Oryzias latipes: one gene and its partner. The protein of the gene in region 1 interacts with the protein of each later gene in a pairwise test. Links are inferred from orthologs where the notes say so. Each region holds a gene or a part of one and is shown on either strand. Other genes may lie near its edges.

Region 1 (4,423 bases):
CGCCGTTGGCTCACAGACAGTTTTTCCAGACATGCAAAAAGATTCAATAAGACTCAAAAGTTTATCTTTTCAAGCTTTACTTGCAAGCAAGGAGCAGACAGACAACGGTTACATTCAAGCGTTTTGGAGGTTCCGCCTTTCTTTCCTCACGGCTGCATGTCTGCGGCCTTCACCTCCCAGGGAGCTGAGTGCTGTTATGAAGCTGAGCGGCTGCAGACAAGTGCGAGTGCATGCCAGGGTCATTGAAGAAAAACAAAGAATATAGTGTCTACAGTTCCATCAACTGAAAGACTAACGACCATGTTAACACCAGACTAAAAATAATAAAAACCATCCAGCCAGCATGCCTACAAACTATGATTTGGTATGATAATAGGATTTAAGCTAACAAACTCCAAGACTTTAAATAAATACATGGAAAATAATGAGTATGGAAATACATTTTCTTAACACAATCCTCTAACGGGCCTGCATGTTAAAACTCAGCCTTCAGGTCAAGTCTGACCCCGTTTGCCTCTCAAAGCTCTTCTTCTGAGCTCAGGTTCTCATCTTCAACCCGGATGAGCAGGTCCACGTTTGAGGACGTCCAGAGCTGCATGAACATGAGCGGATCTGTCAAACAGCAGAAAGGCTGGAGCTTCTGAGATCAGGAATTTCTTTATTGGTGGGAAAGTTCAGATCAGAAATCAGAGAGAGGTGTTGCACCAGAACCATTACAGCGAAACATCTGCATGCTTCATCTGCGCAGAGGGGAGTGGAGCTGGAACTCCTGGGTCTCCTCCTGCTCCTGCGCCGCCCTGCTGGACCTCCTGTCATTCTTCAGCTGGAGTGGCCATCTTCAGGAGGCTGTCCTTGTCAAACCTGAAGAGCCTCCAGCCCTCCTCCTGCGACAGGTCCTCCGCGCCGCGGCGTTTGTAGAACTGCATGGACGGGGCGTTGTTTTCCGCCACCACGAACATCATGCCGGTGCAGCGCGTCTTCATCGCCAGCTGGACCAGGAGCAAGAGAAGGAGACGTTAGAGCAGCTGGTCACATGAGGAGGAGGAGGAGGCCTCAGCTCATGAGTCAGACACAGAAGCATCATGCAGTCAACAGGAGGAACGGAGCAGACAGACGTTCTGAGTCTTTTCATTACAGGATTTCATAAGAAAAAACAATGTTTATATATTTTGTTTTGAATGTTACAAGAAGTGATATTTTTATTCTAAAAGGTATCGATTAAAAAACACTGTAGGTTTTGTTAACGATCAACAGTTGCTGCTGCAGCAGGAATCGAACTCACGTCACTGAGGTGCCGCAGGATCTCCGAGCCCATCCCCAGACCTGGAAGAGACAACAGGAGTTCAGGGATGCTCGGGACCCACCGGAGGACAGGAGGAGCTGCTCTCACCTCTGTACTCGTTCATCACGTAGAACTCCTCCAGGTAGAGCTGCTTGCCCACCCAGGGGTCGTAGGTGAAGTAGTACATGGCAAACCCCCCCACCTTAGGATCTGTATGGGGACAAGGGGGGGGACAGCGGTCACCGGCCATTCTGCAGGGAGGAAACCTTCACAGACCTGCAGCTGCTCTGAGCCTCCAGCCAGAGCACACGTGAGCCGACACGTCTGACTAAACCCAAACTGCAGCCGGCGGCGGCTCTTCTTCCTGCCAACAAACAGGAAGCTGAGCAGAGCGGCACACGCCTACCTTCACTGCTGCTCTCTCCTTGGATTTCAGCGATGATGCAGTGGTAAAACGGCGTTTCACCAAATCCATCCTCCAGGAGATCTGCACAGAAGCAGGCGATGATCAAACACGGTCTGTCGGCGTGCGGGCGGACGCCGCCGGACACTCACCTTTCTCCGTCAGCGCCACCTGGTGCTCCATCTCCTCGTATTTAGCAAGCTCCTGGAATGAGAGCAGAGCGTTGATAAAAACATTCTGAGAGCAGACTTTTCCAGAGAAAAGTTCATGACAGAAGCCAAAAAAAGTGATGACTCAGGATGTTCCACAGATGACAAAGACGTCGTCTAATGACAAATAACACTAAATAAAAGTTTGTTTTCTGCTGGAGATTATTATTAAAGACAGCTGCTTTGTACTGTATTTTATGTCTGCAGCAGAGTTTTAAACGGGTTAGGCAGATAAGTTTTCAACTTCCGCTTTTATGAAGTTGTGTCAAAAAGCGCCGTTTATTTCCTTCTTTGTTCCGGTTTTTAGTTGTTTTTTTTTTCTTGTGTTTGTAAATTCTGACATCCCCTCAGCTGCGTTACTGTGTCAAACGTGTGTATCTGTGTCAGGTCGGCCGTTACACAACCATATAATAACACTTCTCCGAGGTCAGCCTCCATAAGAAGCTAAGCTGCCGGGCGGAAGAGCCATATATGGAGAGGCGGAAGTTAACTCGGTCACCAGCCGTCTGGCTGAAAAACAAAGGCCGCCGGGCTGAGCTGCCGGCCGGACATCCTGCCGACCTTCCTCCCGTCTCACCATCAGCTGTCAGACACACTTCTCCTAAAAAGTTCCCGTATTTTTTATCCGTCGACGACACGTTTCCAAAGCGGGAAACGTGACGTCAGCAGAAAGGGCTCGTTAACCGGAACAAGCGCGTCCAGTTCAGACCGGTTTTTTTTGTTTTGTTTTCTAATAGTAGTTGACGTTATATCTACGTACCTTCACGAGTCGTAATATGTCTGGCACGTCCTTGGGCTCTGCTTTTCGTAATTTATACTCCATTTTCTTCTTTTCCCTTTTTTTCCTTTAGTCAAAAGTCCTCTGTATGTGAACTGGAAGATGAGAAGTTTCTTCATTCGCGTCAGAGTGGCTTTATCCCCACAGTCAGCCTCTGGTCCGGACGCGTCTGTCGGGACAAGATCATTCAGCTGCGCTCACCCTCGGCTGGGTCACTGCCGTTTAACTCCTTCCCTTTGTTTCAACACTATTTATACACCCGGCTCGCGCTCGAACGCTATTGGCCAGTTCCAGCAGCCCCCTCATCTGTGGCGAATCAGCGGCACCCTGCGGTCAGTTTTCATCCAATCAGCGGCCGCAGAAAGGCTGATACGCAGCGACATTACATATGTGTGCTCTGGAAAAGAGACTGTTAAAGTAATTTTCTTTGAAGAATCACTTACTCTAGAATCCATAAATAGAATAGGACATATATCAAGCAAACAGCAACAAGAAAAAGTTTAAAGTCAGAACAAAACCAGCAGTGACTCCTGTAATCAACATCAGTGGAATTTTCCACCTCCCAAGTCTGTGATGGAGGGGCTGGGCTGACTGTCTTTTTAGGTCAGAAAACAACAGAGGCCTGCAGGTAAAGAGCTGCCCGACAAGCCAAAACAATGTATGGAAGAATACAACTGATTTTATTTCCTCTCAGTTATTGTGTCTGTTTGACTCAGTTCTTTAAGTTTATGTTGAAACTACTGAGATCTTCCAGCAGTGAACCACTGTGGTGAAAACAACAGCACACTAAAAGTACTATCAGAAAACTTCAGCAAGCCATTACCACACACCACAGACCAAATGCACTTGGGTAGATATTTAAAAATAAGTTATACATTTTAAAAATATATGAGTTTTAGTAGATGTCTTATTTTCAAGTTGATTTGTTTCTAAAATGTAGTTATTCAATTGTTTATTAATTTACCCAGTTCTTGTTAAATAAAAGTACACTGTTTGGAACTTACATATCTTTCCATTTAAATATACAAAAATTCATATAAAGTTTTATTTTTGCTAGTAAACAATCCTGCTCTGGTGGACATACAGGTATTTCCAGCCGCAGATTCAGGTCAAGCTGGAGAGATAATATCTGGCCTTGTGTTTCTGCGTAACATATGTATCCCACCTGCCGTTTCTGTATTGTGTTATATACTTTGATGCATTGTAATGGATAAGAATCGTGCCTCAATTTTCAGAACCAGCTGAATCCCTTTTGTGGTCACAGTGCAGCTGGAGTTAGCCCAGCTACTGTTGGGCTAAAGGCAGGAGACACCCTGAACAAGTTCCAGTCTGTTTCAGGGCCATGCACTCACTCACTCACACACCTAGGGGCAATCCAGAGACACACATTAACCTATGAAGCATGTTTTTGGACAGTATCCAATCAATTCAACCTTTATTTATATAGCACTTTTCCAACTCATGTCACTGAAAGTGCTTTGCATAAAATATAATCAAATTTAAAAACAAAATGACACGACAAACAATGCCGATAACCCCCCACAATCAACAGGCTGCCACAATCACACACCCATGCAGACTCACACACACGCCTAGGGACTATTTAGAGGAACCCATGAAGCAGGATTTTGGACGTCGGCAGGAAGCTAAAGTCTCCGGAGAAAACCCACGCGTGCACGGGGAGAACATGCAAACTCCACACAGAAAGGCCCAACTTTGATGTTCTGGTTCTGGTCCCCCAGCCGGGACTT
Region 2 (4,332 bases), on another chromosome or scaffold:
TTGTTCAGATCCGCCACATCACAAATAAACTGATGGAAGAAGAAAACGGGTAAATCTCCCATTGACACCAAATTATACTTGATTTAACAGGAATAATAGAAAATAGTTGTTTTTTAAATGGATTAGTTAACTCTGTCAGGTTAAGTTAGTCCTTTAAACATGTCAACATTTAAAGGACTTTAGCAAAAATATGCCAGATATATTGTTAAATATAGAAAGTATAATCAAACTTTTTTTTGATTCAGCAAAAGACCCTAAGAAAAAACCCTCCGGACCAGGTTTTGTCACCTTCAGAAGTGGCTTCTCCTCCTCGTCCTCAGTTTCTTGGACATCTGCCGCTCCCGATTCGATGGCGAGCTCAAGCGCTTTCTCTGAGGAGATGTTGTGACCCGGCAGCACCACTACTCCACTGCGATTGAAGTTATGCCGGCAGCCATCGGACAGCGTCCCCCTGAGGACACAAGCGGGAAAACAAGTCCTTTCATTCGTTTTCTTCATTTCTGCTCACAAACCCGCCTTTACGATAAATCCATCTACCGCTTTTGGTTGATTTCAGTTAAACAGCTTATTTGCTAAAAAAAAATGAAAGAAGTAAATGGACCAAAAAGGAGGTCATGTGACCCCTTGGGTTAATTTAAAACCCCTTTTTTTGGCTAGTTTGAGGTTGCCATCATCATTTTGTAACACCAATGAACTCTTCCAGAAAGGGGTTCATTAAAATCACAGATGCTGGTTCATTGATCAGCCGTTTGTGCTAAAGATTTACAATGAAAAAAAACATGAAATTGTTTCTTAGAAATTCACCAGCAACGGTGAGGTTACAAGGAGCAGAGGTGATGATGCTGGTAAAAGGATGCTGGGATTGGAGCTAGCAGGAAAGACATCAAGAGGAAGACCAAAGATGTAGAGGACTGAGATAGATGGAAGCATAAAAACTAGACTGGAACGAGTGAGTAAAAGTTAGTTCGGACCCGTTCTTGTTCAGCAGCCGCTTGATTTCCTGATGAGTGCGTGAGTTGTTGTCAGTGAGCACCTCGATGAGCAGCACACATCCACCAGGCCCTCGAGCTTCCAGCATGTGCTGCAATGCCGGCTTAGCCTTTTCCTGTAGACAGGAAGTGAAAAAACGTTAACAAATTAAAGTTATTGAAGGTTGTGAGAATTAACATCACAGGATTTATATTAAGTACATTGTAAGAATTGTTTCACCACCAATCACAAAGAAACATCTTCAGAAGAAGAAAATGATGGCGTATTATTCTGATGTCGCACCCAAACCGTACATAAAGCTCACCTACCACACAAACATACAGGAGTGTGAAAAGTGTCTCCATTTTTAATGTGAAAAAGCCATTTTTCCATTTTCCTCCCTTCACCCAAACTACAACAAAACTAAATACCGCTGGACCATCTGAGGCCTTGGATTTTAATTCAGACACCATACCAGCTCTTCTTTCTCTTTCGGCTTTTCCCATCAGGGGTCGCCACAGCGAAACGACCTCTCAGTCGAGGATGAGTCGCATGGTTAACTTGGCAATGTTTTACGCCGGATGCCCTTCCTGACGCAACCCTCTCAATTTATCCGGGCTTGGGAACGGCACAGAAGCAGAGAAGGGAATAGGGAGCAGCCCGGATTCGAACCCTTGTTTCACGGACAGAAGGCGCCGCAGACCAGCAAGAGCTAAACCGGCTCCAGACACCATTCCAGCTACTATTTAAAAAAAACTTTAATGACATATATGATGTTACATATTTCCCAAAGTAAAAATCTAAAAAATATGAACATTCTGCTAAGAATATTTTCTTAATCAACTGTGTTCTGAAGATACAAACTTCGATGGTTTATATATTTAAAATAAAAATACATACATTTTTCCCCCCATGACAAATCATTCAAACGCAATGCATTGTGGTCTGTATTTGCCGATTTAGTGAGCATTGATACATACTGGTTTTTTGCAGAGACGTCTGGGAAATTTCACAGCACTGGATTTGGGAACGATACATTCAGACAGCTTTACAAAAAGGTGAAATGCACTATCTAGTGCACTAAGTAGTAAACCTGTCCTCCTCAGGCTCCTCTGATATGAATGCTTCTGTCTACCTTCTCCATGTTCACGTTATCAAGCTGAAGCGCACTGAGGTTCTGCAGCAGGTCCACCTCTCTGTGACGTAGGAAGTCCCTCCCATGTGGACGACTTTTAAAAACAACTTTTCTTACTTCTGTCTTTAAATTTGGGTTTGCACTCAAAAGCACAGAATCAGATAGGGGCAAACACTCCCTCCCCCCCCCCCCCCCCACACACACACACCTGTGTTGTAAATCTTTAACTTACTGCACTCTTGACTGCAGCATCTATGGATGCCTTGGGCATGTTCTTGCTCCTGCACTGCTCCAGGATGTGTGCAAGGTTTACATTCAGGTCTGGGTTGGATCCTCCTTCTGCAGACAGACGGACAGAATCCATGAGTTCAAGTGAAATAATGACGTCATGTGTCAACAAACTCTACACTCACCCTTTACTGCTATTCTTATCATCATGCCAAACTTCATGAACATCCGTCCCCTCGCTTCATCTTTGGGTCCTTTGATGTGTTTAACCTTTGACCACTTGTTGTGACCTGCACACGACGCGGGGCTCATGCGCAGAAACCTCACCGGACAGGACGACGCGCACGGGGGCCTGGAGGGAAGGGGAGGATCCCAGCGCGGTGACCGGACCGCGGTGGTGGTCAGTGCTCGGGGGTGCAGAGCCCGGAGAGCCCTCAGCAGCGGCAGCCCCGCCATGCCCTTCACCCACAAACACACAACAGCTGATAAACGCACGTGGCGCACGCGCTGCGCTCAGCAGCTGCGCCGTGAATTTACGTCTCACCGCCAGCGCCTTCATGACATCAAAAAAAGGAGCATCGAAGTTTTTAAACTCACAGTTTAGGCAAAACAAGACCACTCGGCTCTTGCTGCTCTTGGGACTTCCTGGTTTCGGTGACGTCACAGTTTGAGCTTTCAAAATAAAAGCTGCTTGGTGTTGCTCAAGCAGCACATTCCAGTCATGACCTCGGAGGCTACTTTTAGAAGGGAGACTTCTTTTTTGGTCCACTTCTTTGTCTAGAAGTCGAACTTTGCACCAATAATACAAGTGGACAATATGGTATCAAAATTGGTTTGTTAAAGCGTAAGTCTATGCATTATTGGGGTAATTTTTATTTTATTTTATTAGCATATGCACTGGGACCCATGGCTGGTTTAATAAGTTACTTTACTTTGTCATAATTAATTTCCTTTTTTTTCAGAGAGTTAATCAATATGCCACCAGGTTTCAGTCTTAAATTTAGTTGATCAGCATCTTGGGTGATGTTACAGATAATTGGAAAGTATTAAATGTTTATGGTGTTTTTCTGATTAGAGGATTAGATAACTGCAATAATCTGTTCTGATGTGTTTACATATTGACAGAAATTGATCCAAAAGCCCTTGTTTACATGTTTGAGTCTTTGACCCCCATGCCGCCTATTGATGCAAGTATGCATCAAACCACATCGTCTCTAAAATAGTTTCTACATAAAAGCAAAATCAGAAGCAATTTTTGTCACAGACGGAAATAAATTCAGGCGTCAGAGTGTTCACCAAATATAGTTGTTTTAATTTTTATTTTGTGTAGAAAAAAACCTGTATGGACGTTGTTTTCTCCCATAAATCAAAGTGATTACGTCCTGATCAATTTAATTAACAATACACATGAAAATCAAACTTGTTATTACATTTTTAAACATATCCAGTCTGGCTTAAAGGAGCCATGCCTAATTTCTTAGAGTTGTCCTTCCAAGATTATAGATCAACAAATGAAATAACATGCCATCCAGAAAGAATGACAGTTGACTTTTACAGGTTTTTGTGTAGTGGACTTTGGATGTTAGATCAAAACATTGATAACAGTGTATTTCAATTTTCAGATTTTTTCTGAAATAAATGTGATTTGATTTACATGGGAATTTTCAGATTGTTGCTGTCATGTTCATTTATTCATTTTTATGTCAGAATGATTTATGAAATAATCTCTAATCATAATTTATTCTTATAAATTATGTAATTTCTAATAATCAGGTAAATTTGGGCGAACACTGCACTCTAGAGACTGGGTAGAATTTCTTCTATAGGTACCAAGTGGAATAGGAGATAATGGCGAGCTCTTTTAAATGATCTTGGTTAGAAAAACGAGAGCTGAAAATTATTTGATTTGATCTTGTTTCTATCAAAGGAGAACCTCTAAAATCCTCTGGCAGAATGGCAAAATCCAAAACTTTAAACCAATCAGGTACTTGAAGGCTAAA

Evidence for each region.
Region 2: the proteins of sat1 (region 1) and translational activator of cytochrome c oxidase 1 interact in binary tests that used the Homo sapiens proteins (3 or more experiments, as listed by UniProt). The two-hybrid records come from large-scale screens. The link is inferred for Oryzias latipes from reciprocal best matches to the Homo sapiens genes SAT1 and TACO1.

What each region holds. Positions count from the first base shown.
Region 1 is NC_019878.2:2,835,653-2,840,075, reverse strand, and holds sat1 (diamine acetyltransferase 1), read right to left. Parts: upstream 2,925-4,423; 5' UTR 2,718-2,924; coding exon 2,655-2,717; intron 1,890-2,654; coding exon 1,838-1,889; intron 1,770-1,837; coding exon 1,689-1,769; intron 1,493-1,688; coding exon 1,391-1,492; intron 1,324-1,390; coding exon 1,283-1,323; intron 990-1,282; coding exon 813-989; 3' UTR 61-812; downstream 1-60. UniProt on the Homo sapiens protein: Enzyme which catalyzes the acetylation of polyamines. Substrate specificity: norspermidine = spermidine >> spermine > N(1)-acetylspermine. This highly regulated enzyme allows a fine attenuation of the intracellular concentration of polyamines.
Region 2 is NC_019877.2:7,385,521-7,389,852, reverse strand, and holds the start of translational activator of cytochrome c oxidase 1, read right to left. Parts: upstream 2,982-4,332; 5' UTR 2,892-2,981; coding exon 2,877-2,891; intron 2,792-2,876; coding exon 2,518-2,791; intron 2,444-2,517; coding exon 2,337-2,443; intron 1,106-2,336; coding exon 972-1,105; intron 452-971; coding exon 289-451; intron 30-288; coding exon 1-29. UniProt on the Homo sapiens protein: Acts as a translational activator of mitochondrially-encoded cytochrome c oxidase 1.